Caenorhabditis elegans: one gene and its partners. The protein of the gene in region 4 interacts with the protein of the main gene of each other region in a pairwise test. Each region holds a gene or a part of one and is shown on either strand. Other genes may lie near its edges.

Region 1 (5,014 bases), on a different chromosome or scaffold from region 4:
TCCGAATGTCAATCTCTCACTGAACTAAATTTTCGTTCCAAACGTGATATTCCCCTATCAAGAGGCAAAAATGCTTCAGACATCCTGTGGCTAACATCCTTGTCTTCTGTAAAAATTGGAGAGCTAATGCACAAATGTACTGAAATTCATGAATACTGTAGTGAACAAGACGACGTGCGCGGGAAACCGGGCCCTGTTGGACCTGTAGGCCCACCTGGAAAGAGTGGACCTGCTGGACCACAAGGACGAAGAGGGTTAATGGGAATCCCAGGGCACCCTGGACCTGTGGGACCACCTGGAAATATTGGAAAAGATGCGGATTGTTCTTCATGCCCGATTAGAGATGAGCTGTTGATGGAAAGGGAGTTCAAATGTCCTACTGTAAGTTTGAAAGGGGCTGGACCTACAACCTAGAAAGGTAGGTCGCAGATCGTGACTTCTAGCTGAAATATAAAGTTGTTCAAGATTCTGTGAGCTATGTAGATTGTCTAACAACCTAGCTTCTCTGGGCTTCTCAAAGAAGGAAAGAATTTACAGATTGAAAATCTGGAATGCCCGAACAGAGAAGCCATTCCAACAACTCCCTGGCCTTCAGTCACACATCAACCAATGCCTGGATTGGTTCAGCAGGTGACTTCAGTAATAACTTTCAGATCCAAAGCATATTTTCAGATCCTTTCCAACTACAGTGAAGTCGAGGGATGCGTGAAAATATGTTTGAAAAACTACACTCTCGATGAAGAAATTGAAGAGACCATTACGACTCCAGTTGCATATATTCAAGGAGTTACTGCCCGTAAGTATTATATTCAGTCTTAAAAGGAGTTGAAGAATGTTAAGATTGCCGACTTCAAAACGTTGGAAAACCTGTGTTCCATTCTCATTCTACAACATATTATGGAAGCTGGATGAGAGATGCATACCCTCCAACCGGCGATGTAAGTTTGGGAGCTTGAAAATGGAACTGAAAAATTTGCTCACACTTTATTCAACTCTTTCTGTATGTATGTTCGTGGTTCATTTTTCGGAGGCGTTTTCCGGTCGAGACGTTCGGGCATGAAAATGCTAAAAAACCGGGAAAAAGTAAAAAAAAGTTTGGAAAGCTGTCACAAACCGAAACTCACTGGTTCGCCGAGTACTGGTATACTGTACATTATGAGAAAGGCATATCTCAACATATGTATATCTTGTTTCAGGACGCTAGAAAACGATACGTAATGAACCATTTCCAAGGCCACGAGCTCATCGAATTTAGGAATGAAGCTGAAATGCGACGGGACCATGTCGGAAAAGTGTATGGTTTTCTTTCAAAATTTTTCAAATATTTGAGAACTTTTTATTCTTTTTCAGCCATCGCCTTCCATATATATTCGATGGAACAAATCATGTTATTTTCAATGCATCTCTTTTCTATCAAAGAGCAGGATATCCAATTATTGCAAAATACGAGTTCAACTCGAAACAGTACTCACAGTTTGAAATACCGGGAGCAGCTTATCGTGGGGATCAGGTGAGTTTTGAAATTGTTTTAAGTCAAAGTTTCCAATTTCAGTACCTTTATAATAATTCGATGAATTATTTTGACTTGGCAATCGATGAAAATGCACTTTGGGTCATGTTTCACTATCAGGAAGAAGCTTTCTTATCAGTAGCTAAAGTAATTTTAAGTTGTTCATTGAAATCTATCTACTAGGTACTATTCCAGGTGGATATAAATAATTTGACAATTTATGAGGCATTCAACCTCACGACAGTAAATCATACAGATGTTGCAAATGGAATCGTCGTTTGTGGAACAATTTATTTGGTTTAGAATTTTTTATTTGATATCAAGCTTGACCAATAGCAAAATCAAATCAACATTATTCCAGGTGGAAAGTGCATCAGAACAATCCACGTATATCTCTACGGCATACGATTTCTACAGAAACACATACTCCCAACCTTTGATTAAATGGATTAATTTGTACAAGAACGCCAATATGATTAGCTATAATGCTTATGATAAGAGAATTTACATCTACGATCATGGTTATATGCTCTCTGTACCTCCACTTTTGCATTGGCTGGCTAAATAATTTGTGTAGTACATAGTTCATTTACTATATTTTAAAATAAATTCAGTTTTATTCGAGAAATATAAAGTAATTAATTTATCGTGAATATCGTGAAAGTAGCTCTTTCCTATATATTTTTTCAGGAGTTTTAGTTCCCCTTTCTCGAATTTCTGTGGTGTCTCACGCAACGACGCTCCGTTTTACACACTCGCGCGTACTTTATCGTAATTCCACAAAACCTTTTTTCCATCATTTTTCTATTAATTCCATAGTTTTCCTCGATTTTTTGTTGCAATTTCAAGCGATGAGTGGAAATCGGAAGCGAAACACATCAGAGCCTCGTGAGGACGATGAAGATGACTATTCCACTAAACGAAAACGGAATAACGAAGCTGTGAACAGGTAAAATTTCATTTTTAGCCGCTAAAATCTAATTAAAAATTCCAGAACCCGACAAAAAAAACGCCAGGAAGAAAATGACACTGCAGAAAAAGTAGACGAATTAAAAAAGGAGAACGAAACACTAGAAAGAAAGGTACTTGTTTACTTGATTTTTTAATTTTAATTAATTCCCTCTATCAGGTCGAGCAGCTACAGAAAGAGTTATCATTTCTTAAAGAAATGTTTATGGCATATGCGAAAAACGACGGAAATGATGGACCACCACCACCGCCACCACCATCTTCTTCCGCCGTGTAGATAACAATTTAATCAAAGATTTATCCACCATTTCTGTAAATTTTATACAAATAACTCAATTCACGCATTCCAATAACCAAAGAAAAATAAATTTAGAAAACGCTTTACTTTCTTTTTTAAACTGTTTTTTTTTGTGTGGTACGTTTCCAACAATTTATCTTGAATGATCTTATTAATTAACTTTTTGAATTTGTGTTGTATCAAAAAAAACGTTTCTTTCAGATGACCGAAACGGAGCAAGAAGCGTTTGCTGATTTAGTGGCAGAACTGGAAACTCAAACTGCAGAAGCAGTAAAAGCTTTCAGTAAAGTTTTCGATCGGATGGAGGAAACGAACGATGACAAAGAAGTGAAATGAAAACCTCAAGATTTATTCAAAAACTTTTTTATTTACAGGGGCTTAGTCTTCTGAAGCTGAAAAACTATGAAATGACAGCGTACCTTGGAGAGTTGACTGTCCTTATGTCGAAAATGATGAAAGGAGAGTCAATTACAGTAGAACCATCTGTTAAAAGAGCTTTAAAGCATAGAGTGGTATGTATTTTAGTATTCCAACTGTTCCTAAAAAACTAGTTTCAGTTCATTGAAAAAATGAAACCAGTCGAGGATAAGATGAAACCTCAAATTGAAAAGCTACTAGGCCGGTCAAGCGCCGAGAGTGGAGCATCAAATGGTTCTTCCAAGGGAAATCACAGAGTTCGATTAGACAATATGGACGTTGAAGGAGATGAAGAAGAAGAGGAGGAAGATGAAGATGATGAGGAAGGAAAAGGAGCAAAGGAAGTTAAGAAATATGTGGCACCAAGAATTAGAGCAGTTCGATATGAAGGTATGTTCAAAAATTAGTTTTCCGTAAAGTTATGTTCATTTTAGAAGAAGACGAAGCTCCGAACAAGCAACAAGAAAAGGCAAAACGTCGTGCAATGCAAAGTAGTCTTATTATGGAACTCAAAAATCAATACAGTGATGCTCCGGAAGAAATTCGAGAGATGAGTGAGAAGAAATATCAATATGATCGTGAGAGAGAACGTTATGAGGAGGATAACTTCACCAGAATTCGATTGAATAAGGATCAGAAACGACGAAGCGAACAACTAGGACGTTCGGAAACTCTTGATGATTTGCTCAGTTTTGGAGATTATATGATGAGAGGAGAAGATGGTAGAGCACTTTCCGAAGGAAATAAAAGGTAATCTTTAACTTTTAAAATTGTCCAACATATGATCCATTATTCAGAAAGCGTGCTACATCTTCTGGTGCTGGCGGGGACACAAAACGACACAAAAAATCCCAAAAGGAACGAAAGAAAGCGGCAAAAGGAAAGAAGGAAGGACGAAAAAGGGCTATTCGCAGAAGACAATAATGTTTTTTGTTGCATTTTTATTTGCCAGTTGTTGAATTTTTTGTTAACTTTTTATTTGTTTTGTTTTACTTGTTTTTATTGTATTAGAAACAACACTTAAAAAAAATATTTTCAAAAAACAATTTCCAGAGCGGTTGCAAAGCCAAATATCTGTAAAACTTCCAAGGAAAGCTTTTTTACTAAAAGACCTTCAGATCAAAAATGGGTGGTGGAAAGTATGAGACTCAAATGTGTGTAATTATCATCGAAGATATTTTCGGAAAGGTAAGAATTTAAAAACTTTCTTTTTAAACTTTTTTTGAATTACAGATTGTGGCGAAAGTAATGGAGACGATTCTGAAAGAAAGCTGCCAGTTGTCTACTCTTTTTTATAAACTGAAAGGACAAATTTCAAATACTCTAGTTAGTTATATTGATTTGGAGGATATTGAGTTCACTTGCAGAAAAAATAGATAAATTTTCAGATCAGAAAATCGGTTTCCACATTGATCAACTTTGGTTTTGTTACTTTCCACTTGGACACGAACAATCGAACCACATATGTTGCAGATTCCGACCAAATTCAACATGTCATTTCCTCGCCGAGGTAAAAAGTTGTAAATATATTTTATAGAGCCAAATATATAATTTTCAGAGCTTGCCTCATTGCTAAAACGCTCTACGGACCTGCTGCAGAGTCTATCTGCGTCGAACTTATTTCTCAAGGGCGGCTTACCGTATCCGAGACAATTCGTCGAATTCAAGCGACAGATGAGACGGCCGTGTTCAGTGACATCAAGAAATCTTTCGAAGAACTCGCAGCTGCACATTTTCTCATTCGAGTTCCGTCTGTAGAATCAGAAATTCATGGTTGTCCTCAATTTGTGACCAATTTTGATCCATTTGCAATATCTACT
Region 2 (7,662 bases), on a different chromosome or scaffold from region 4:
CAAACATGGAGTTGACGCCAGAAAGCAGAAAGTAGGCGGTAGGCAGGCAGGTCAGCAGACAGGCATGAAGAGTACTAAAGCCTACTATAACTTACTAAACAAGCCGTAACCCGTAGGTTGAAATTTTTGACAATTTGATAAAAACTATATACCCTCTATGAGATGAGGTAAAAGGTGTACTGTAATTAGAGGATCGAGAAGTAAATTTAATGTTTCGAAATGCACAATTTAGTGAGTTTAGGTATTTTGACCATTTCCACAAAACTCTGAAATTTTGATAGCTCACAAAAATGATGTCTTTTAGCTTTAATCCGTTGGTGCCTAAAGATTAAAATTAAAATGATGTAACCAAGATAGGAATATTATTTTCAAGCTGAAATTTCTATCTGAGCCCTGTAAAACTGCTCCAAGAGATCTTTTTTGCAGACTTCTGTGATTTTAATAGACGAAGAGAAGTAGGCGAAAATTCCGAAAGCTTTAAGGAAATACATTTTTGAATCTGAAATTTTTTTGACTTCACTTGCGCGAGCAATAGATTCAAAAAACTTAGAACTTTAAAAAAAAAAATGAAAGTCTTCAAAAAATCTATCTTTTTTGGAGCCTGATGTTACATTGTCTTACTTTTCTTGTAAACTTGAAAAATCTAGATCTATAACCACTAAATTCAGTGAATATTTTCATTTTTCCCATCCATCACCTTTGTTTTTTGCCGTACTAGGTGGTGATGGTGACACGGGAATATGGAGAAAAAAGAGGCGTAGAAGAAGAAGAAGAAGCGGTGACGATAATAGGTACGTTGGTCTAAAGAAAAAGAGAGAAAGAGCTTGTTTGGGTGGTCTTCTTTTCTTTTTTTTCTGCTTCTACTCTCGCTCCCCCGTCCTTCTCTCACTCCACCACGAGCGCCTCTATTTTGACTGGCGCCGCGTCGGTCATCTGACTGCTTCTCTCTTTTTTTCATTCTTTTTCTCTTTTTCTCTCTATCCATCTTTTTTCGGCGCGCGCTTCTCCTGGCGCTTCTCGTGGGCTCTGGGAGTCAGGTCCCTTCTGCTTTTTGGCTCCGCTTCAACGGAGTCATTGAGCTCACGAAAAGGGCATTCCAAGTTGGTATTTTTTGGTTTAATATTTATATTTTCTAAAAATTTAATTATATTGTTATTCATATAGTTTTTTGTAAGCTTAAAAAATGATTGTTTTCGTTAGTATCTAACCACATTGTAATAATTGAATATTTAATTGTTTTTTCCGGTCAGGACTTTACATATTATTCATGTTAAGCTAACTTTACAGATAATCATAAGTTTATGAAATTAACAAGAAAAACCGCAAGTCTTGTACAATACTTTCGCAAGTTTAAGGGTCTGCAGACCGGCCTGGGCTTATGATTGCTCTTAGGATTAGGCTCAGGCTCAGGCTCAGGCTCAGGCTCAGGCTCAGGCTCAGGCTCATGATGAGGCCTAGGCTTAGGCTTAGTTCGTTTTTTTTCAGATTGTCTTGATTTCTTAAAATTCGCGTCATTAGACGAAATTCCCGCTAGGTATAGGCCGCCTCCGACTGCGTTTTTACTTTTTTGACCAATCTACCATCTAATTCTAGGGTTCTTTCATTATCTCTGTCACTTTTTCATTAAATTTGTATCTTTCAAAAGTGATGAATAACTGAGTTAAACCAACACAGCATGGCGCCAATAAATCGTCCGTCGCCGCGTCCTCCTCCCTCTCTCCTCCGCCGCGGCCGCTTCCCGACGCCATTCCGCATATATTTAGTGGATTCTACTGATGTGGAGCCAATGGAAACCGGGAGAGGGGAGAGGCTCCAAACCGGCGGACGGACCCCTGCTGCGACCAGCTGGCGCCTGGCGCGACCATTTTGTTCCCCCTCACTGCATCGTTTACTACTAGTGCAGTCTCTGTCAAAAGAGCACACTCTCTTCCATTTTTTATGTTTACAACAACTCGAAGAGGGCAATCTTAAACTATTCATTGGAATTTTGGAAAACATCGGAACATTATCTAAATATTTTTAAGAAGTCTACGAATTTTGAACTTTTTGAAAAAAAGCAATCTAGCAAAATATTTTCAACTAAATAACTTTTTATCATATGTTGAGGAGGTTTAGAAAGATTGAAAGCACTACAATTAGAGGTGAATTGGAATGTCCTTGTTTGCTCTCTGATTAAAAAAAATACAAGTTCTAGTAAAATAGTTTTGTAGATCCCAATCCAAACCAGAGAAAACTCATGATCTCACAATTTTGGAATAACCCTATCATATTTTTTCAATTCTCCGATGGTACCACTTCCTTTTCTTCTATTGCACCTAAATATTAATATTCCCTTTACTTTTGTTTTTTGTTCACCTTAATCGCAATTGTCACTTAATTCCTCTATTAGTACGCTTCTTGCATCTCTTGGATTTGTTATTCAAATGTTCTAAAACAATTGAGACATACCGTGTAGATAGTTTTGAATTCATCGTATTTTCCATTAATTTTCCTCTTTTCAGACCGCCTGTATGGTGGACACCATGATGAACACAAATACAGATGGTGTCACAGCGGTTCCTCCGATCTTTCCACTACCGTCGACGACACCAAACAGAAATAATAATAATGAACTGGCGATGTTGGCACAGAAGCAAATAGTCGCCGGATTACTGTTACAACAACCAACGATTGTGCAGGCAGCGGTGAATGGAACCAATTCGCAAAAACATTTGGCAGATATTGACTATACGAATGTTATTCAGGTGAGAGATGGGCTCTTTGTGGTTTTGACTCCTTGATTAATATATTGAGTTATAGATGTGAAATTGATTCTCTTGAAAGACTTTTTAGATATTCATGTTCGAGTAAGTCTATCTGTTATTTTTCAGACTCTTCAAGCCCTTGGCACTACAAATCTAAAAGCATTCTCTCTACTTCTTGATCCACAATCCCAAACATCTCAGTTAATATCTGAAGATACACGTCCATCTGCCAGCTCATCACCGTCTTCAACTGCAACTGCAGTATCTAACAGTGGACAATCAAACGCAACATCCACGTCATCATCGTCCACAGAACCCGAATATAAACCGAGAAATGTGCGAGAAAAAGTGTATGCAGATGGATATATCATGTCATTTGATAAGAAATCGTGTTGTGGAACTAAAGAATTTTGGAGATGTGAACGAAAGAATGATTGTAATGCAAGAATGCATTCAGATATCAATACACGAGAAATTGTGAGAAAGTTACATCCACATAATCATGAGAAACCGTCGCCCGAAGAACTTGCATTTTATGAGCAAGATTTCTCTACTCTCCATCCAAATTATTGTCATCCAGTGAAAAGTGTGAGTTTTTTTGAGCTAAAAGATTTATGGTGAATATTCAAAACTTGAAATATTCAAAATAGTTAGAAATAAAAAGTCGAGAAAGAACGAAAATGTATGTACGCCGAAACGTTATATGTATTTCGATTTTTACTAATCGCCCTGCTTGAACTTCCTCTAAAATGATAAATGTTAGACCAATCAGCGATTCGCTCCGCTCATTTTCCAACCAATCAGACGGAGTGGGCGGAGTTTAAAGACGCAGTGGGCGTGGATTTTCATCGCGGGGGGTTACAGGGAAACCAGCCAAAATAAAAAAGTTTTTTTTTAGTTTTCGGTAGATCCTGTAGGCAGGCAGGTAGGCACAACACTTATTGTTAATAAAACATTCGGATTATGTGTAACTGCTAATTTCATGTTTTTTGATTTAAGAATTCCAAAATTTCCCAATCTTTTTTAAATTGAAATCTTTTAGATCAACCGATCCTACATGCAACGAAAACTGAGCCGTGCCTCACATGTATCACAAGCTCTACCAATTGCTCCACAACAAATTAAAGCTGAACCAATGGAAGTTGACACGACAAATCAAACAATTCAAAACTTTCAACAAAACAATAATTTAATGCTTCTCGCCTCAATCAATGCAGCAGCAACTGCGGCTGCAGCTGCAACTTCTGCTGGAATAAGTCCGCCGGTTGTTGGACAGAAAAGAGTATCAACGACTGTGATGCCTATCACTTTGAAATCGGTTTGTTTTTCTTGAATAATTATGCTTTGTTCAAACATCATAAGGTTGGAACTTTTCAAAACTATAGGTTTGAGCCAGAAAAACGGAAATGAACTAAAAAAAATGATACGAATTTCTAAAATTCAGGGCCAAATTCGAAAATTTCGAACAACTTTGGAATTTCTTAATATTTTCAGCAACGCACAACTCCTAAAGAAGAAGAAGATTCATCTCAATTGATGTCACAAGAAGAATTCCGTATCACTTACGAATTGACCAAAAAGCTCATGGAAATGATGAAGCCAAAAACTGAAATTGGAGTTCGATGGCAAGGAGATGAAGGGTCAATTCTTTTGTTCTTATCACATGATAATGGAGCAGAAGAGAATGTCTTCTTTCCGGTGGTTGTCATGAATCGTGATGAGGTAAGTAATATAATTTCTGGAAGCCCGAAAGACTGAAAGCAGAAAACAATCAACAATTATTTCCTAAAAATTTATAATTTTCAGAAATCCCTAATCACTGCGTTAGAAGGATTCACTGGCAAACGTTGCGAAGGAAAACTTGCTCTGTGTTACTCACAGAGGGTTAATGTGCTTGTACATGAAGCGGTAAGCGAATCAATTTTCTAAGACTAGACATGAGCCCTGGTAGAGTTTTGCTACGTGGCGGTGAATATGAGAAAACTCTTCCACTTTTCGAAATTTAGCATTGATTATTTGTATTTGTTGTAGGGGAAGCTCGAAGACCTGTGGGAAAGCTCGAAGATTTTTTCGAAAGTTTGGCAGTTTGTCAAATTTATCCTACAAAAAATCTAAATCAAGTCATTTTTTTCTAAGCATTTCTGAACCTTTCAGCTAATCAGCAATTGGACACACGGAAAACTATTTCTCGTCAACACTGATGCACCGGCTCTCTGGCGTCTAACGCCCGTCGACGCTTTCGGCGAGCCTTTAAACCATGTCTAAGTGATCATTATTCAATTAATCGATAGTTTGGAGTCATGAAATTATAACTTGACCGACTGCAACGTTTCGCTGCACGCTACATTTTATTAGTTGTCATGAACCTATAATATCGAGCTCCCGGAGCAATCATATAATTACAAATTGTAAATTTTTTTTTAAATTTATTCCAGCCATTTTCCCCTCTCAATACCTCTCCCTTATCTTGTCTCTATAATCTTGTCTGTTTCTCAACAAAAAAGCTCGTCGTCAGGTCCCCCATTTCCGGATCTCATTGTGAACTTTTCAGAAAAGTTCGCAAATTTTCATATTCCTTGTCAATTCCAATCTCTATGTCTCCCTTTTATTGTGCTCTTTCCCCCTTATAAAATTACGGAAACCACCCTCTCCAACTCAGGAAAAAACCCCCTTTATATGCTCCTTTTCTTTTGATAAAATGATATCGTTCAACTAACAATTATCCCCTGATCACTTACATCAATAAATTGTTTCTATGAAATAAAAATATATATAAAGTGGACAATTGAACATGAATAAGTAAAAAATGTTGCTATAATGTCACCATTGTGTTCTAGCATTAGTATGTCTAAGTCCATGAAAAATTGAGTACCTAATCGTAGCAAAGAGATGAGAAATAACCAATTTTGTCATCAAGTTCCGAATTCATCAAAAAATATCACAAAAGAGCTCCAACATGCTCCAACAAATACTCATCAAATTTCGTGACATTTTTGTCGAGTTAGAATCTTCAAGAGCCGAATTAATAGATGTTGCTCCTCTAGTAAAAGTGAGTGTTTGTGTTTTATATGACAAAATTAGTGTTTTTTTAATTTTGAAAACTATTCTTACAGCTTGTCGATAAACTCGGAACACGGATGTTCAATTGTTAACTTTTCAGACTGGCGGTCCGCATAATTATGGGCCACCCTGTAGTAAGGGTCGGTCTAGACTCCAATTATACATTATCAAAAATATGTAGAAAGAACATGACGCTCATACAATTGTGGCTGTTACATTGACGATTACATCAAAAACGTTGCTAGGAAACAAATTGAAACGTTTTTTATCTTAAACAATAGAAAACATGTTAGCTAAATATCTGATCGAGACATAATTATTGCTTTAAGTGTGCGAAAATCAAGTTTTACTTGTCAAGATTGTTTTGACCATCTTGCAATTGTTCTTTAGAGATATGAGAGAAATAGTGCAGTTGTAAATTCGATCATTGCAACTGCAACAATCATTATCAAAATTGAATAGTGTTGATATCAAAATACATTGAAGATCCTTGAAAATTGAAGATTACACAGATGTAAGTCATTGATAAAAACTGCTTGGTTTGAAACAATGATTCAAGACTGATGATAGAAATTATTCCGAGAATTTCAGAAAAAGGTATGGCCGGAGAGTACCTTGACAGTAAGTTCGTGACTCAACTAATCGCTCAAAGCTCTATTTCAATTCCTTGGACCATTGCTTGAACCTTCTGAAAATAATATTTGTGGAGGTCAAACCGTACTGAATCATCGTATTCAATCGAGTTGTCAGCATAAGATCTGATACTTGTCTTAGTTTGAGAAGAATGAAAGAATTCATACAAACTTGCACACTCTCGCACGCGCAAAGCTTTTCAATTAACTTCAAACCTACGAAGTACGCACAAAAATGTTATCCTGTAAGCCTTCACGGTGACCTACGGCTGCTGGGAAGGCAGTCATGAGACAGGCACGTACGTCTGAATAGTTGATTTGACATGGAAGCTTATGTCGGTTTCTGTTTTCGTCAGAATGATCAGTTTCGATTTTAACACTTTGCTTTTACACTTTTTTCTCTTTCATTTCCAGCTTCTAATTCGAAAAAATATTTTATTATCGTTTGGGTGAACGTGTTTTCGCTATTTTTCTTGTTGGGTCTCGCCACGATCTCTATCATTTTAGCTTCTAAATAAACTTCAGAAAATCGTACATTTAATGTGGGAATTAAGATTTATCGGGATTTCACACTCTAAAAAGACAGAAATAGCAGTGAGATCCTGGTTTTACCCGCAATTAAAAAAAAGGCATTATTCATCAAAACCTATGGAAATTTTCGAAAAACGTCATCGAAAAAATAATTTCGAAATGTTCTGAATCTATGAATATTTTAAATCATTAAAAAAAAAATTCCACGTAGTTAGTAAAACCTTTTTGAAAGGTAAACTTACGCAGTCTGTGACAAAATTACTTCATTTTTCGCTTAACTTTATCAATAATACAATGGAAAATGAAAGGAGTCGCTTTAAAGCTGGTCCCTCGGGTTAATGCGACATCAAAAAATGGATGCCTTAAGGAGGTGGACAATGCAACGAAAATCAATTCAATATGTGAAAGTGCTCCGAACACAGCAAAGCTTCTGCACTCTTGCATCTTCCCGAAGATCCCAACAACTGTCTGTTCACAATATTCATTATCGCCACATAAGACTCATTTCGCGATGTTTATGGAAATGTGTGGAAGTGAGCTGACTGGAAGAATCAAGTTTAAATCAGACGAACAAGTCAAAAGTGTAATATGCCAAATCATTTTTTTCTTGGTCGCTGCTCGAAAGAAGAGTGGATACTCGCACAATGACTTCCACAAAAGAAACATTTTAATTAATGATACGAGAAAGGAGACAA
Region 3 (8,485 bases), on a different chromosome or scaffold from region 4:
TTTTTTGTTGATTGGTGATGTTTCATTTCATTACAAAATGTTTCACATTACAATTTTAAAATTTTACAAAACGTTTCAAAAAGTGTGTAACTAGTAGTACTTCTATTACCACTTATAGTTGAGAAAGCCAGTTTCAGCTGCAAAATCACGAGACATGGTATATTAGACTGTAAATAAAAAATTGGTGAGTTAACAGAGTGTCATTTTAGAAAACAACACTTTTTTGGTGATCGTCTACCTTTCAAGTCTGTACTAAACTTTTGAGAATTGAGCAACTCTGTAAATTTTGTTACATTTTCTGACTTTCTTATCGCCTGCCCAGTGATATCTTCTCGTGTTTGACCCACTATGGATCATCATCATCATTTTTATTTGAATCAAAATCATCGCGCATCTTCCTCTCTACAACACCTACTTTCCCCGGGGCGGGAGGCAGAAAAGATTGCTAAATAGATTATGTGTGACTATGGAAGACGTAGAAGACACACGGGAAGTAGATGAAGAGAAAGGTGAAGCTGAGAAATTGAACGAGAATCGAAAGAGAAAAGAAACACAGTTTACCCTTTCTTTTTCTTTTCTCTTACTTTTTGGTTTTTTTTATTTGTTTTTTTTAAGTTTTGATGTCCGAAATATATAATCCTGCTGACATGCTCATAATTATTAAAATGTTTCAACAAAATTAACGGCCAACTGTAACTCAAGTGCAAGAAGTTTTTGAATAATTGTTCTTCATAATTTCAAAAGATTCTGTATGTTTCAACAGAAACAAACTATCAAAAACAAGGTCCGCTCTGCCGCTCTGCCATTAGAGGTAAACTTGTGGTTTCACAATAATTATAGATATATCCGAAACTTTAGAATTATGTATATAGTTTTTCAGATAATTTCACAAGTGACAAATAACAGTCAATAATAGATTTTTACCTCACTAGACATCTCCACGTTTGCCGTCTTCTCACCTTTTTTCCCGCCTCGTGCCCTCTCTTGAGCCGATATTTACTAATCGATATCCTATGTAAAAGACACCGGCAAGTTGGTACCATACACTCCCATTTGTCATCTTGCCGCCTTGCAAAGGTTTTTTTTTTAATGTTTAGTATACTTTTGAAGATGTACCAAATTTTTGGATTTTGTAGTTTTGATTAAATAGTCAATTAAAACTGCATTTAGCTTTTTAGTGAGTTTTAAAGTTTTTTGAGGCATGATTGTAAATACTTGGTAAAATTAGAAATCAATTTTTTGAAACGTTCTATGCTTTGATGTCTGAAAATCTAATTTTTTGTAATTTTATTCAAAGAGATTGTTGACCAATATCGTGACCTCCCTTCTCTAAAAAAATTTCAGTGTTATGTTCTCTTGTATCTGAAACTGTTTTTTGTTGCTGTTGTAATACAAGACAGCTTTCCCTCCTTCCTCTCATTTCTTCAAGTCAGTAGCCGTCTTCCTCTCGATGATCTCGAGACACTTTCACCTCTTCTGCCCCCTCTTTTGCCCCTTCCTGAGTTGAGAACCGGTTCCAAATTCTGCCGATTTGCGATTCTCTCTCTCTCCTTCTGCGCATCAGAAGCTGAAGGCATCACCGAGCGTCGAGACTGTGAACACTTTTCCTCTTTTCTACCTCCAAAAAGTTACATAATACAGTTTTTTTGGAGGAAAGGTGTAAGGGGGCAGAAGTCATGATTCATTCGAGAGTGAACGCTAAATGAGATGAGGAGAAGGAAAAGCTGGTTTCGAAGAAGGATCAAGGTTACTGTAGTTATCAAGTAACCACTTGATCATAGGTTTTAGTTTGGAGTGTGCTAGTCTAGCAGAATTGCACATAACTTTCGATATCGTTGGGCACATATTTTGACTGTTTTAGAGTCGCCATGTGCATATAGTGCCCGACTTCGTTGACGATCTGTACATCGTGCATCGTAATGTCTATGAGGTACCTGCTGAAAGCATGACAAATTAACTGTGTAGGCAAAAGTTAGGAGCTCTTTTCTTTAGAAATAAGCATATTTGAGAGTTTCTTCAGTTAAAGTTAACCCAATATTTTGTTGTTACTTTTTTGATATCGAACATGGCAAGGTTTTTCACGGTCAGAGATTTTGAAATGTTCCAAAAAATACCAAAGTATGCATCAAAAATATAAGCCACCTTTTTTCAGTTCATTTAAGAATCTATTAGAATTAGAAATCTATGTTTGTCTAGATACCTTGCTTATTTCTCATTGGAAATACAATTATCTTTGTTATATTCAGAATTTCAATAGTTGAGTTTCATGTCTAACTCATCCCAAAATTCTTGTTTATCCAATTTCCCATGCAATCTAGCCACCTCAATGTACCAAGTTACTTGCCTCCTTTCGGAACTCTGCCGCAAATAACTTGGCACCTCGTGGTCCTTTGCAAAGTGCCGTAGAGGCGGTCTAGACACGCCTTTTTCAGGACGGGAGGCGGTGGTTGTAAGGAGGAAGATATACTTGTTACCATTTAGTTTTTCTCATTTCTGTTTTCTTGGCACCCTTTTTGATATTCTTTTCTATATAGTATTGTTTCACTTTCTGTACTTGGGTTTCCAAGATGAATGCTCTCTAAATGTGTCAAACCTTTTGCTCTCTGAAAACTTCCATTTCCAAACCATTTCTCTCATGACATGCCAATCTACCGTACATATACACACAGTAGTAGTACATCATCTCGTTTGGCCAATGCCAATTACAATTACCAAATGTCAAACCATTACATCATGCGAGAAGCCTCACTACCGCACTCTCGAAGTACACAGCTTCTGCTTCATTCTCCTACTTCGTTTTTGCCCCTTTCTAAAAATACCAGTTTTCTGATGCTTCTCCCCCTTATTCTATTGTGTTGTATTGTTATGTCATCACTCTTGTCATTGGGTTGTACAACATCCCTTTTCTCGAGAGAGAGAGAGAGAAATGAAAATGAGACAGAAAGGCAGTTTGACCTGATCATCTCGAAGAAGAATCAGTCAGGCTTATCATCAAAAATTGAATAGATTAAGCTCCTACGGTCATTTGCTAATTAACTTATCCAGCTAGAATCGTGGTAGTCATGATTGTTGATATTTAAGTTCTTATTTTGAATTTTTTCCTTTCTTGCCGTCTCTCTCCTTTTCCATACTTTTGCACATGTTCCAGCTTTTCTCCAGGAAAAAATTATCAGTGCTGGCTCTTATCAGTAAGCAAGTGACCGGCAACTAGAACCCTGCTTTACTATTACTTGAAAGTTTCTAATTGTATAGTTGGTTACGTTTCTTTTTGGAAAAGTATACTCTTGGTAGATTCTACCGTATACTTGTATCCTAAAGTATACTGTACTAAAGATACACTGAACGCCACCTTGTCTATCTCCTCGTAGAAATCTCTCATGGAAACGGATCGTAGACATCTTTGAATCTCTTATTCTCTCTAACTCTCGTTCTTTTTGGATTTTCCCTATATTTTCTGCCGAAATTCGGTCTCCTGAATTTCACTTTCTCTTACCTTTCTCTTTTAATTTTTCCACTTTCCGTTTCAACAATATTATTTTTCGTATTACTTTTTATTTCAGATATCAAATGGATCTCCAAAAACCGCCCAACTTCATGCTGGATTGTGGAATGGCTCCGCATATGATGCCGCCGATTAACTGGGCTGCGGCCGCAATTGCAGTAGCCTCATCGACTTCTGGAGCCACAAATGCCACATCGTCTAACTCGGTTGCCACGTCACAACAATTACAACATCATCCATATGGGACAGCAGCTGGAGGCTATAAGGTTTGTGATACGGTTTTTTTGGTTGTAAATATTGAAACAATGGGCTTTACACTTTGATAAGTGATAAGCTGTCAAAAGGACATCAGGAAGTGGACACAGCCCTTTTTGTAATAATTTTTTAGTAAACAAGGTAATAAATTTAGTAAAAACAAAAAACATGATACTTTGCACTGGTCATCTTGTTATCTTATTTTTTGAAACTTCTAGAGTGGAAGAGCAACAAATTTGAAAACTCTTTTCTTATCAGTTACTTGACATTTGCACTTTTAGAAATGTTCTCAACCTAGAAGTACCAAAAAATTAAAAATTGCTCTGAAACAAATCCATACATTTTCAGCATGCACAACAAGCGATTCCCAAATCAGTGACCCCGTATTCGGATGCAACAAATTGCAAAAAGTCATCAAATCACATCAAGCGACCAATGAACGCTTTTATGGTTTGGTCTCAAATGGAACGGAGAAAGATTTGTGAGCATCAGCCAGATATGCATAATGCAGAAATCAGTAAGCAATTGGGAAGTCGTTGGAGAAGTTTGACTGATGAGGAAAAAGCTCCATTTGTTGCTGAAGCTGAGAGACTCAGAGTTTGTCATATGCAGGTTAGTATGGGAGAATATAGTTTAATTCAATTCAATATTGATACCGAATTTTCTATATAAGTAAGAAATACAGTAATAATTTTTGAACAAGTGTATTTTCACTAAATAATTTCAAAACGTATTGTGCTGATAATAGAGGCTTCATACCAATCAAAAGTTTTCCGTAATCGGCATTTTCGGAAATTCAAAAATACGACAATTATCGAGTTCAAAAAAGTTAAAAAAAAAGAGAATAATTTGAAAAAAAAATTTGAATTTTGAACGAAAAACAAATTTCTACTATAGTCAGTGTAGGAGGTAGGTGAAACAATATAAGCTTTTCATTAAAAACTAAAAATTCCAATATTTTATTTTTGGTGATTTTCCGAATCTCAGAAATTTTTAAATATTCGACGTTTTTGGCAACTGCCAAATTATCAAATTTTAGAATATTCAAATAGTAGCTTACCTCTGTGCCACACAGGAAATACTGTAACCGGATTTTTCGAATAATTGTATTGTAATTTTAAATTTTTTCAGGAATATCCAGACTACAAATACAAGCCACGCAAGAAGCCAAAGAAGAATCCAGATGGAACACTTCAGCAGCCAGCTCAACCCCAAGCTCCACAACAGCAACAGGCCCCACCACGTGGAGCATCACCACAGGCTCGTCAACGAAAACGTCCAAACACAGATCAACAGTCAGAAACACAACAATTCCAAAACTTTAAATCAGTGAAAGTGGAGCAAGATTGGATGGGAAATGCTCATATGAGTCATGCACAAAAGATGCCATTTCATCCATCGTATCCATCACCTTCCGAGTTTGGACATGCTCCGTTGACACCTGAATCTGGATTTTATGATGACTATTTTACACAGCAACATCATCAACAGCATTTTGCATCACAACATCATAATTCGGCAGGAAGTCCCCTCAGAATGGTTAGTTTTTATAGATCACGAAATGCTTGGAAAATTCAATATTTTCAGACGAATCTTGGTATGGACATGGGAATGCCACCACAAATGATGGGGCATAATTCGGGATTTGGAGCTGGTAATCATCCTTTCTACTTGCACACTTCACCACCATCAGTTGATCAGGTACGGGTTGTCTCTTTTGCATGAGATTTTGTTTGAAGCACTTTTTGTTTGGGAGTACGGTAGGATGTAGTGGCTAAAAATTTAGAAAATTGCCAAATTTTATTTTCTGAAAGGTGGGGAATTTTATCTTAAAGAAAATAATTAATCACTCAAAATACTTTATATTTGTCAAAATTTTCAATCAAAGTTTTGCAAATTATCAAATTTCCGAAGAAATTTAACTTTATGAGAAATTGTTCGAGCCCTTAGAATTTATAGAAACACTTACTTGTGATTCAATTTTTACTTAGGTTTAGTACTTAAAACCCGTTGACTGTAAATTTTAAAAAAAGTTCAAAAATTTTTGAATTTTTCTGAAGTGGATTAAGTAGTTTCTAATACATTGTCGATATTTCATCTTTTATATTGAAAAACATTTAAATCATAAAATTCTTAGTACTGGCCATTGGATTTTGAAAATTTATATTATTAGTCCTTTTAGCGTAAATCCTACCGTACTCCATTTTCCACTACAATCCCTTCCCAGCATCCATGCTTAACATCCTAATAACCGCTTGTTTTCCTTCAGATACCTAACCCAATGATTCAGAATCATAATCTTTATAACATGTACCACTTCGCACCATCACCAGCACCAACTTCAACACCACCAGCACAATATCCTCATGAAATGTTCAAAACTCATGAGTTTCAGGACGACATGCGTAGTCTATCGTCTGGATCTTCGGGATACGCCGACTGTAGTGCTTCTGAACAATCAACGTCATCACCAAACTCGGCGGGAGTCGTCACAATGGCTACGGCCGCTACGACTACAACACATTTGGATGACCTGGAGCAGATTTGTCCAACTGTAACCACAGGCGAGCTGGTCAATTATCCATGGAGCGATGCATTGGGAATTGATATTAATTTTTCTTGAATATTTCAGACAAGTTTTTTTTTGAAAACTTCTGAAAGTTCGGGTAGTAAGTAGATCGCTACGTCCAAATGTTTTTTTTCACTGTTTCTTCTGAAAGCCCAACATTTTCTGCTCCTACCTCAATTCTAGCCTCTCCCCTGAAACAATTCTCTCTTTATCTCTCTCCAACAATTTTCGAGTGTCCCTTTAGTCCGGTCTTAGTACCTTTTAATCCCCAGCATTTTCTAGTTATTTACCACCTTTTTCTGTATTTTTCTCTTTGTTTTCCAGTATTTCCTCAACAAATCCAAGCGATTGTATTCTTTCATTTCTTGAAACCCTAAGAGTATTTCTACAAATCCAAAAAGTAATTCACTAATTTCAAATTGAAAGTATTCTTCTACAAAAGTATCGTCCCCATTTCTTTACCCATTTTTATCCTCTCCCAGCTTTACCGAGCCAGTTTTCATTCGTTCTTTCAACTTTCATCGATTACCCAATTCGCCGTTGTACTTGAAAAAAAAAATTTCTGAGATTTCAAGCACGAAATTATGATTGTATATGTTGAACACTTCCCCCCATCCCCTGCCCTCTACAATATGCCAAATGTAGCTACCCTTTTTCCCAAACCTGAAGAAATATTTATTCTCTTGTTCATCTCTAAATATCTCTTATCCTTTTTCACTCATCTTTCCAAATTTTCAGTATTGAATGAATTTCTTCCTCTTGATTTCATTTATTATTGATTGATTTATGTTTGTCTCCTTTTTCTGAGCAATAAAAATCATTTAAAAAATTAACTTGTTTTTGATTTCAAAATACATAGATTTGTGGAAATAATATACGTTTAATTAATTTTTTCTGTTCTGTAAATTAAAATTCAGGTAAATACCTAGCAATTTTCTACTATTAATTAGTTATTGGCAGCTGCGGCAAGTGTGTGACACAAATTGAAAAAACTTCCCTAAATAATGTCTCGTAAACAGTCTCGTAAAATATGTATGACATATTACAATTTAACATAACAGTTCAATCCTGGCCTGAAATCAATTTTTGTGCTGGTAGAACAATTGCTCCGTGAATACTGCAATAACCGAGCAGTCGGGAAGCCGCTTTTCTGGAACCTCTTGTTTTTTTTTGCAATGTCATTCTCGGAATTTTGGCACTTTTCTGAAACCTGCTTTAAAAAGTCACACCCTGTTTTTGGCTCCAACAGCTTTGAAAAAAAAACAACCTTCAAATAAATAGTGCATTCTATCATCCGTCCTTCACAACCTCAACTTGTCGGCATGTTTCTTTTTCTCTTTTTTTCTTTATTTTATCTTTCGTTCCAAATATTGGACATCAATTTCCGACATTTCGAAAGTTCTTTTCCCCAATTTATCGCAACTCAAAATCTTCAAAAAGTTCTTCTAAATTACTAAATCACACCGACCTCCAACGACGTTAACGGTCGTCAAACGAACCGGGTAAATTCTAAGATTGGCATCTCGAACACGCGACCGGCGCACGACCGTTTTTTTTGTTTGAATTGCAAAAAAAAAGACGAACCGAGTTGTTTTTTAAGTCGGGAAAGGGATTCAGTAGCACTCCTACATAATGATCGAATTGCAAGCAAGACCAACAGAGTCAATACTGTATAAACATCCTGATTACATGAATTAAAAAAACAAACCCTTAAAAACAAATCGAAACGCATTGATGATCCATGAAAGCTATGCTGATGTAACAAATCCTTCCTCTCCCACCCAAGAAACAAGTTTCATCCGAAGGTTCACCTATGTCAGAAGGTGATATTCTCGTCGTTAGCCATTCTTATCAATTCATTCTTGTTTTCATCCAGTTCCACGACTTCTCCCTTTCAAAAGATTTTCTCTTTCGCATTTTCATTTTATTTATTTCACTTTCGTAAAAGATTCGAAAATGATTTTATTTTTATTTTTATTCCTGTTGTTAGGATTTTGTATCGGTTAGTTTTAAATTCAATATTTAGAGATTACATTGTTAAATTTATGTTTCAAAAAAAATCAGAAACTTTAAAAAATTTGGCAATTTATCAAATACTTTGGCTGAACTTTTTGTGATATCCTAACATTTTTTTAAGTGATGATTTATGAGGAAAAATT
Region 4 (9,629 bases):
TGAAATTCAAGTTTGAATAATAGAAACGTATCTCTATCAGACAACTAACAGTACAAAGTATAACAAATCACTTCACCCGTTTACTCCACTTCTTCCCAAACGAAACCCTTGTACTCTAATGTTTCCAAACTTTTTCCCATGTTACCTACTAACTTCACGACTACGGTAAACGGTAAACGGCTCTTTGCCAACTCAATGATGCGTATTCAAATCGACAATTATCTGTGTGGGGGCTTTCGAGGTATGTGTGACACGGGCGGTGCATGCGCGAAATCTAACGCCGCTCTGAATGAAAGAGAGAATGAGAATAGCTTCCGCTTATTATATCCTTCATATTATATGCCTTTGGCTATGACACCACTTACCTATAAACAACAAATAGCCGACATATGGTGTGACAAAACTTTAGCGCAAAACGTGGGAAGAAGATTAGAGGGAACAATGTGATGAACAGTCTGTGGGGAGCTCTTGTCGGCTTGAAATGGATGAAACCTAATAGTTTTTAAAGAATTCCGGTTCATAGAATTGAACAATAAGATGATCATCCCATTTTCTAGTCCGTGTTTAATTCCAGGTACATTTCAAACAATTTAAAGTTGGAAAGTTTCTGTCAGAAGTTCGATTAATTGATTCAGTGAAACTATAATTAGAAATTGAAAATAGAAATGAAGCGGTTTCCGTATGCTATCAAGTTTTTGTGCGCCTTGAAGCGGAACGTTCTGTTTCCTACGGATTTTGAAATTCTGTGAATACTAGGGATTCCACAAAATTCGCCTCCCAACGAGAGAAGTTAATGCCTACGTGATGAAAAATTGTTCACAAGTCTGATTGAAGCACTATAGAAAAAATATAAATTGTTTTGTCAGTTGATAACTTTTTACCAACTCAAAAGACAACTGAAACATAAGCTGTCCAAGTACATAGAGCGATGGGATGCAATACTATACGGAAACATGATTGTGATAAATAATTTACAATCCAATGTAACATTGGAAGATCTATTCATTTTACTTCCCCCCCCCCCCCCCCCCACCATTTCGCTAAGTTTTCCAAAAGTTCACACCTGTATGACCCTCGTCTGTCTATCTCTCTTCAACGACCTTTTCCTGCATCGTTCTCGATATTGCGTAAAATCCCAACACATTGTCTTACTCTTGGGTAAAATCGAGAAAAAAAAGTATTTTTGATTGCGTAAGCATCAAAATGAAATGCAGGTGTTCACCACTAAAATGAAATGGAGGTCATGTTCGTACCCTGTGGTACAAGCCACAGAGAGTTCAATTTATATGATGAGCATTTGAAGAATTTTATTAGGTTCTAAAATACCATGAGCCTGGCAGCTGGAAAAATATTTTACTGTTTTTTTTTTTGCTTAGAAACCTAATACTATAGACTACACTGAATTGGTTGTGACAACCTACTGAAGAACAAGAGGGGTAGAACATTAAATAACGAATCTAAGAATTTACAATCGGTGTTACAATGTTAAAGTTTTCAGCAACTAACTTCAAAGAAAATTAAAATTTTAATGAATCAAGGGATATTGGTTTTTTGGTTCGATTTTGTTCTGGCTCTCCGAGAGAGAACTATATGCCTGATACTGATATATAAAAAATAAAGTTGAAAATGAAGTTTGTAAAAAATACAGCTTGAAATTCGTCAGTTTTACGTTTGTGGTTCAAGCAAGTCTGGAACCTAGAGTTTCCCTAAAATAATATTTATATTTAATTTTTCACACGACCTGAAGTTTTCTCTCAAAACAGTCTACTACATATTTCACATAGAACCCCAGACTCCATCTAACTTTTTGCGGCAAAACTACCATTCCTCTGCTCAAAACTTTTGCTCCAATTCTTTTCATCATAAAGTCTTTACTGATGACAATGAATGGTCAAGTATTCTCAGGGATGTCGTCGGGTCTTTTGAGCTCTTTTGAGTCTTCCAAAACTCCTTCAACTTGTGCCTCCAAAAAGATTTGAGGAGGCATTCTGAAGAATGGGAGCAACAACGGCAAGAAGTGTGTGGTGATTGTGCGCGGGATGAAAAGAGAACAAAGTTTTTGGGATGAGGTGGATGCTCCGTGAGCAATAAAAGGATCCGACAGGAAGGGAGTTTTCAAGAGTAATATTGACTATATAGGGCAAATATAATAACATGACCAAGGATACAGAACTGTTTTCCGAAAAAACCAGAATCCCAGAAAAGAACCACTTCTTAATTGAGAAAGTTTCAAAATTTGTTCAAGTCAAACTGCAGATAAAATGTATTGAAATTAAATAAAAATTGAAAACTCCGAGTTAAAGTTAAATTAAAAGATGAGTAGAGTGTGGTCAATCATAGTGGTTGCTTGAAAACTTCACACACTAGTAAAGTTTACAGTGGTCTAGGTTTTCAGATTTATAGTTTTCCAAAATAAGTTAAACATTTCAACTACAAGAGCACCTCAGTTAGATTTTCTGTACTCTGAACAATGTTACTTGAGCTATTAACATAAAACTACCACTCAATTGAATAATTTGGCATTCACCTGGATACTATGAAAACAAAAAATTGAATATTTGAAAAACAGTACACTAGAAAAACTCTCAAAATCAATCAGGGCGTGGCTTATTGCATCGTCTACAGTATCCCTCAGAGTCGTTTCTCTTCGCTTTCTCTCCGTCGGCTGTCAGTGGTGGTCGCTAGCTCCGCCCATGATTTGACGACGTGACTCGCCTTCGCCTTTCCGACTGCCTCTCACTCTCGCCTTAAGAAGAGAGAATTTGTCTTTTGGGAATCTGTGTGCTCAATATTCCGGAATTCTTGAATTAATGAATCTGGCGCCAAGAATGATGACTGCGGTTTCACAGATGTCGGTTCCAAGCAGTAAGTCAATTTTAAAAAGTTAATCGTCAACATCTAGAATCAGAAGATGAAAACTTCTACTTCGAACTTTCTTGGAAAAATGAGCTTTCTTAAACTTCCAGGCTTTAGCTGTAGAAAGCTTTTTTCCAATTCCCAACTTCAAAAGAAACTCAGATTTTAAAATTGGGATCTTGAGCAATTAATAAACGTAGGATGAGTTGCCCGGTGGGCATACTTCACATTCTTAGCCACATAAAATTGTTATTTTCTCATTTTAATTTCAATTTCAGAGTAGATTATTATTAATTTGAAATATTTAGGGAAGAATTTCCTAAAAATGGGTTTGGAAGTGCATAATATCGAAAAAAAAAGTGGGAGCTTTTTTGGCAAGATACATACGTATAGGATTTTGATACCTTCACAAAATTTTGAAAACCCTATGAAATACTCCTGTTTTTTTTTAAATATTTTTTTACTACCCATTGTCTTCAAATTTAACAAAATCTGAACCTTGACTTCTTCCATGGGATAAATCCATTAATATACAAACTACAGTAAATCCATGTATCTTTATATATGAGTTCTAGAAGCCTTAGTGCAGATGGGTTACTGTAGTTGTACCTAAACTAGTTTGTGTGAATGAAGAAAGAAAATGAAGAAATGTCTAATGTGAATATCATAATTTGAATGCATATCAATTTCAGTGTGAGAAAAAATTTCTAACTGAAAAATTAAGACATTATTTCAGAACCCTGATTTCAGAACTAAAAAGTCACATAAAACTTTCATAAAAATTCCTTTTTTTTTCCTAATCTCCCCGGCACGAGAACTCCAATAAGTAAAATAGGAAGTCATTAAACATAGTGACTCAATATTATGGTAGAAATGATTAGGTGTGAATTATGAGTTAGGTGATGGAATTAGTACAAGAATGGAAGAGTTTCTGTGGGAGATGCAGGTGTTTCGGGTCAATTGTGACACGTGGCACCTGTGGATTTAGCACCATTTAGCTAGAACTAGAATTGATTTGAAAGGTCATGATGTTAAATAAAATTAATTTTTTAAAGTCATACGAACAACATCAAAACTAATACTCAATATCCAAGAAGTAGAAACTCAATTTGAAATATTGTTCACTTCTTGCCTTTTTCTTTCAACAAATCCATTTCCATTCTGCCTTCATTCTCTTTTCATATTCTATTAATTAGGCAGGCAAGAGACACAGGAAGTGCTGAATAATTGGAGTCTCTCCTTCTTGGCTTTCTTGATTTCCTCATTCTATTTCACACCTAAAAATGATTATTTCTTCAGGTCGAATTCTATTGGATGTTGATTGTAGAGTCTGTGAAGATCATTCGTCGGGGAAGCATTACAGTATTTTTTCCTGCGACGGGTGTGCTGGATTCTTTAAAGTAAGTTTTAATGTTTATTGAGCTCTCATTTTTTAGATAGCTTAAAATATTCGAATTTGAGAGTAAATTTTAGTGGAAAATTTTTAAAAAAGTATTATCTAGACGCGAAAGTTTCCCATTTTTGCTCTAAAAATACGGTAACCGGTCTCGATGTGAATTTTTTTTATTAAACGGGAAAAGGTATGTGCCTTTAAACTGTACTGTAATTATGTACTCTCGTTTCTGCCGAATTTTTCTCCTGATTTATTAAAAATGTATGTGTTACATCTGAATTTTATTAAAAAACATATATTTTTATCGAAAAACCATCCAAAATTCGACAGAAACAAATTTATTGAACTACAGTACGTTTTAAAAGCGCACACCTTGGTTAGACAAGGTACTAATTTTTGCTGAAACTAATTGTTATATTATTGAATTTCCGGATAGATAAAAATGTGTTAATCTTCAACAAAAAATGTCTACAATCATTTTGCAACATTAACTTTGTTCTGCTCCGATTATAATGTATGTCTAGGATTTGAGACCTCATGAAATATTTTTTCAATGTGAATTGACTTTCAAATTTCCTTAGCATAATTATCATTGAAATTGAACAACAATTCCAAATTTCAGCGTTCAATCCGTCGTCATCGTCAATACGTGTGCAAAAACAAAGGCAGTCCATCCGAAGGACAATGCAAAGTGGACAAAACACACCGCAACCAGTGCAGGTGAGTTCTTAACGGTCACAGATTAGTGTTACGATCCCCTTTTATGCTCTTTACGTTCGAGTCCATACATTGATTGATGACACTTGGAGAATTTCAGAGCTTGCCGACTAAGAAAGTGTCTGGAAATTGGGATGAACAAAGATGCTGTCCAACATGAGAGAGGGCCTCGTAACTCAAGTTTAAGACGACAACAGATGATGTTCGATCATGGATCCTCTCCTAATTCGGTATGTGTTTGTGGGAATCTTAAATTCGGATATGTTACAAGGACAAAATATTTAATAATTTTAATTAAATTTATCGATTCTAATTTAGTTTTGAATTCATAATGACTTTCAAAATAGTTCCATTTAAATCTCATGATTACCGATCTTTCTCTTTCTCACTCACAAAAATCAGTGACTAAAGTGAAGTGAAAAAAGGATTTTGAGTAGAATTAGTACAGTAATCCGCAGGTGGATTTTGGTCGAGTTGACACCGACGCGGCGGCGACGAAAAGTAAAAAAGGTGAAAAGTTGTCGGTTGCTGTACAAATCTACAGTACCACCTGACAGGTGATTTGTCACTCTTGAACATAGTCAAACATTTTACTGGCGAAGGGAACACCTAGGATATAGAGCATGGTCAGAAATATGATTGCAATGAATTGCAATTTTCTACAACACGGTAACTTGGTTGTTGCCGGAAGTGCTGAGTATTCGTTAAGTTGGCAATTTTTTGAATTGGCAATTATCGAAGAATTAAACAAAACATTTTAATTTTTTTGTGGTACGTTTTTCTCAAAACGTCAAATTTCAAAAAAATATCCTCTAATTATCAGTTAAACACCAAATACGTGCCAAAACCGTGACAGATTCTTTAAAAAAGAGCACCTTGAAAAATCAGCCAGTTTCAAAAACTTGTGAATATATGTGTATTCTGGGGCAGATGTTTTAATGTTTCTATTTGTATTCGGATACAAATTACTCAATAATATTGTGCTCTTATGGATCTTAAGTGGGGACAACATAGTGTCAAATGATTATGTTGCATAAGTACTTGTTAGGGACAGCTGATTGGAAGAATTAGCAAATATCGTATACAAGAGGAAATTATGTCTAAAATTTCTATAATTAACTTTCAGTGAAAAAGTTAATATTATTAAGTAGATGATTTTAATTTTCCTTCATTTCAGCCGGAAATGGGATCAGAAAGTGATGCAATAATTCTTCCGACATCATCAATGAATCGTGACACAGTGGCCGGTACTGCTGCTCGAATCTTTTTTGCACTTGTTGGATTTTGTCAGAATCCTTTGAATGGAGTACCTAAAGAACGGCAAATGACAATGTTTCAACAAAATTGGGCAGCACTTCTTGTTCTCCATGCAACTGAAACACGTGCCATAACTTCTAAGCAAATAAGGACTGAGACGATATCCGGTAGCTCAGAGCAAAGAAATGCGGTATGCAGTAATATGAATCTGAATATTTTGAAAAATTAATGAATGTTCAGGTTGCTAACGCGTTTGAAATAATTGAACGTTTACAATTGGATAATAGAGAATACATGATGTTGAAACATTTCACAATGTGGAGAGATACACCAAGTGCAATTCAAATTGTCTTTCAGTTAGCATCTATTCAGAATTTCACACATAGAACCGAACCGACGAGATATATCCAGTAAGTTCCTTTTTTTATTTTTTTTTTCAATTTTCTTATTTTTGGAATAATGTGAGACTTCACTATAAAGGTAAACGCTGTTTTTCTGAGTGGGTTGCAACGATCAAAGTTAATTAAATATTGTATTTGCTAGTTTGAAGGTTGCTAATTCTTTTTTAAAATTAATTAATTAACCAATTGAAAAAGTTCATTTATAGTTTTTGTACGATTATCCTATTCAAAAGTTCATTTTTCGGCTCAAAATATAAAAAATTCCACAATTAAAAAAGCAGTGTTTTTTGTTCTCACAAAAAATGCAAATTATTTCCTATTTGCTTAAAAAGCGAAATTGATTATTGAAAACTAATGAAAACTAAACGCTCTAGTACCATCTTTCCTTCTGAAAACTTCACAGTCTGAAACCTATTTCAGATGTATAAATGCAATTGCCGCTATTCCAACAACTTCAATAATTGATGTTCTATTCCGCCCTTCAATTGGATCAGCTTCAATGCCAAGACTTATTCAAGACATGTTCAAGCCACCACAACAACCCACTCCTACGTCACTGTTTCCAATGGCAAACTTCAATTTGAACTTTCTATTAAAACAAGAAAAAACCGAAACTGAAGAGGGTGAAGATATTGAAGAAGAGGATGATGCGACGAGTAGCAATCAATTTGATGAAAATTCTTCTACTGATGATAGGTATGATGAGCATTTATTAGTACAGTGGATTAACTGAGTCTGTTGCAGATCTGTCGGAGAACTGGATCCCGTTCAACTTTTCTTGGCTCTTAATTCCTCAACTCAGCCTTCATCGGCATCATCCCCTTCCTCTTCAAGACCACGTCATTCGATTCGATCAATAACTGAATTATTATCAATTCAAGAAGAAGAGAGTGTTAATGTTGAAGAGGTTTAGATAGTAAATTCATGTTTCATATACAGTAACTCAATTATTCTAAGTATCTCTTTTCATTGTCTTTTTCACTCCGTTTCTTGCCTCGCCCGGATTTTCATTGGATTTTGATTTATACTTTCAAAATTTCATTTTTCAATTGTAAATTTTTAATTTAAATTTAGAGAAAAAAAATGGTAAGCTTTAAAACTAATTTATTATTTTCTGATTTATATTGTGAACAGATGAATAAAACGTTTACAACAATGGCAATTGGCATACAAACATCATTAAAAAAAGGTGAATCATACAGTTTTGAGAAGACTACATATGATTCGAAACATAAAAAACAATAGAAATCAATAAATGATGGGAGAGAAACCGAGAGATTTATTGGAAAATGGAACGGTTGAATGTCATATTGTGTCATCGTCGTTTTCCTTGTTAATGGCCTCGTTTCTTATCATATCCATATCATTCTGATATTCCCATTCAACTAGATGACCAAATCATTAGCTGACTGATTTCCCCCTTTTTAATGATTTGTTTATGGTTTTGTCAATAGTTTGAACGCGTTACGTTTTTGTAGATAAACCTGATTATGCTAGAATATTTTTTATTGAGATTTATTGACTAATTTAAAGTTTTAAACTAACAGAACAACAACCAATATTATAAAGAAAATGCTTTAAACTCATTTTTGAACATCCAGAACATCCGAAAAATAACCAACATGGTTAAGATTTTTCAAAGTTTTTAGTCAAAGTTTCGGTATCTATTTGCAATTTTCAAAAAACATGGAATATTTTCAGTAATTGCTTTTTCGAACTCCCAGACTGTTTGAATACAAAAATTGAAAAGCAAGTAAACAATAAAAAATTGTAGATATTTTTTCAAAGACTTTCAAAATTATAGGCGTAGGCTTCACTAATTTTTGACTGTCAGTAAAATATTTATTTCAAAAAAATTTTAAAAGTTTTACCATAATATTTGGGCATGGGCATTTTACTTTTAAAAACGATTTCTAAAGAAACCATTTTTATATGTAAAACAGTTTTGCTCAATTTTACCAGTTATCAAAATTTTTCAACTGACACATATTTTTTATAGTTTTGAAATTAAAGATTCTTTAAATATTGAACTAAATTAAACTTAAAAACAACTTTAAATATTGTGCAACGAACAGAGAAATGTGTAGTCAAAGTATAGTAATGTTTTACAATCACAACAGTGGAACTATGGAAAAAAATCTGTTTAAATAATGATTTTACCTATTTTATGAAATTTTAAAGATATACCCAACATCTGCAAATAGACACTTCTTATTAGACCAAGTGTTCACTTTTACTAATCATCTGTGGCATTTCCAAACATTTACATCTGATTTATTGCCTTTTCCTCCAATTAACTTGAAGAAGAAAGTTCTATAGATATACCCATTTTTGTTGAAATAAAAAAAAGCGAAACCATCACGAAACCGTATTCGTTTCGCAGCTAATTAACACCAGAGAATGAGGAGAATGTGGTTAGATGGGGAAACATGAAATCACAAAAAGCCTGTCTCTTTTTTCATTCCTTTCTCCTTCTCAGTTTCTTCATTTTCTTTCTGTATGTGTGTAATCACATTCTTATTTTTTTTCGCGTTTCTTGTCATGTTCATTCTAATTCAATTCTTTTGAAAGAATCTGATTGTGATACCTACCAACTGATGACACTTCCTCAATTCTTGTTAACTTCAGGTTCCACTGGGTTTTCTTCAACTTTGATGTTTCATACTGTTTCAGACTAGTCTTTTGAAGTTAGAGTATCGTAACTGATGCCAAATTCGTCAAATATCACATTTAAAAAATACGAAACTTTTTTCTATTTACTTTCTAAAAGTGACAATTATTGTTTTCACTTATCATAATTTTGGTAACCAACCAATTTTTTTAACCATTTGAATATAAAGTTTGGCGGCTACTTAACCTTTGAGAGGTTCATTGATATTCAAAAAATTGAAATAATACAACATCTTTCATTGAATATATGTTTTCATCTAGTTAATTAAAAAAAATTCCCAGACGCAACTCTACCTTTAAAACAACATTCTAACTCTAGAAAATAAAAACATTGA

What was found.
Region 1: the proteins of nhr-67 (region 4) and cebp-2 interact in a two-hybrid assay, tested with the Caenorhabditis elegans proteins (one large-scale study listed by BioGRID).
Region 2: the proteins of nhr-67 (region 4) and flh-2 interact in a two-hybrid assay, tested with the Caenorhabditis elegans proteins (one large-scale study listed by BioGRID).
Region 3: the proteins of nhr-67 (region 4) and sem-2 interact in a two-hybrid assay, tested with the Caenorhabditis elegans proteins (one large-scale study listed by BioGRID).

Annotation. Positions count from the first base shown.
Region 1 is NC_003279.8:6,250,723-6,255,736, forward strand, and holds cebp-2 (CCAAT/enhancer-binding protein homolog 2), read left to right. Parts: upstream 1-2,359; 5' UTR 2,360-2,361; coding exon 2,362-2,459; intron 2,460-2,504; coding exon 2,505-2,592; intron 2,593-2,639; coding exon 2,640-2,756; 3' UTR 2,757-2,862; downstream 2,863-5,014. Other genes in the region: cof-2 (Olfactomedin-like domain-containing protein), read left to right, coding at 1-381, 538-630, 673-796, 841-938, 1,197-1,294, 1,351-1,510, 1,553-1,657, 1,706-1,807 and 1 more; lpd-2 (LiPid Depleted), read left to right, coding at 2,979-3,104, 3,152-3,289, 3,335-3,584, 3,629-3,944, 3,992-4,118; let-611 (DNA-directed RNA polymerase III subunit RPC3), read left to right, coding at 4,320-4,382, 4,428-4,520, 4,583-4,704, 4,753-5,014. UniProt on the Caenorhabditis elegans protein: Transcription factor that binds to the promoter and the enhancer regions of target genes. Regulates expression of genes involved in fat metabolism, including ech-1.1 and fat-5.
Region 2 is NC_003281.10:4,949,623-4,957,284, forward strand, and holds flh-2 (FLYWCH transcription factor 2), read left to right. Parts: upstream 1-2,501; 5' UTR 2,502-2,510; coding exon 2,511-2,744; intron 2,745-2,870; coding exon 2,871-3,332; intron 3,333-3,786; coding exon 3,787-4,062; intron 4,063-4,238; coding exon 4,239-4,466; intron 4,467-4,550; coding exon 4,551-4,652; intron 4,653-4,898; coding exon 4,899-5,009; 3' UTR 5,010-5,549; downstream 5,550-7,662. Other genes in the region: C26E6.1 (Protein kinase domain-containing protein), read left to right, coding at 7,269-7,662. UniProt on the Caenorhabditis elegans protein: Probable transcription factor. May bind to the promoters of target genes, including micro-RNA genes, in order to repress expression, and acting redundantly with flh-1 and flh-3.
Region 3 is NC_003279.8:5,203,204-5,211,688, reverse strand, and holds sem-2 (Transcription factor sem-2), read left to right. Parts: upstream 1-3,560; 5' UTR 3,561-3,567; coding exon 3,568-3,768; intron 3,769-4,105; coding exon 4,106-4,369; intron 4,370-4,888; coding exon 4,889-5,296; intron 5,297-5,344; coding exon 5,345-5,458; intron 5,459-6,152; coding exon 6,153-6,380; 3' UTR 6,381-7,159; downstream 7,160-8,485. Other genes in the region: osr-1 (TPR_REGION domain-containing protein), read left to right, coding at 8,283-8,328. UniProt on the Caenorhabditis elegans protein: Probable transcription factor required for embryogenesis, vulval development and cell fate specification of the postembryonic mesoderm (also known as the M lineage).
Region 4 is NC_003282.8:11,167,006-11,176,634, forward strand, and holds nhr-67 (Nuclear hormone receptor family member nhr-67), read left to right. Parts: upstream 1-2,742; 5' UTR 2,743-2,828; coding exon 2,829-2,865; intron 2,866-4,155; coding exon 4,156-4,256; intron 4,257-4,871; coding exon 4,872-4,969; intron 4,970-5,066; coding exon 5,067-5,196; intron 5,197-5,404; exon of another isoform or gene 5,405-5,534; intron 5,535-6,143; coding exon 6,144-6,413; intron 6,414-6,463; coding exon 6,464-6,633; intron 6,634-7,044; coding exon 7,045-7,320; intron 7,321-7,368; coding exon 7,369-7,537; 3' UTR 7,538-7,786; downstream 7,787-9,629. UniProt on the Caenorhabditis elegans protein: Orphan nuclear receptor that binds DNA containing an extended core motif half-site sequence 5'-AAGTCA-3'.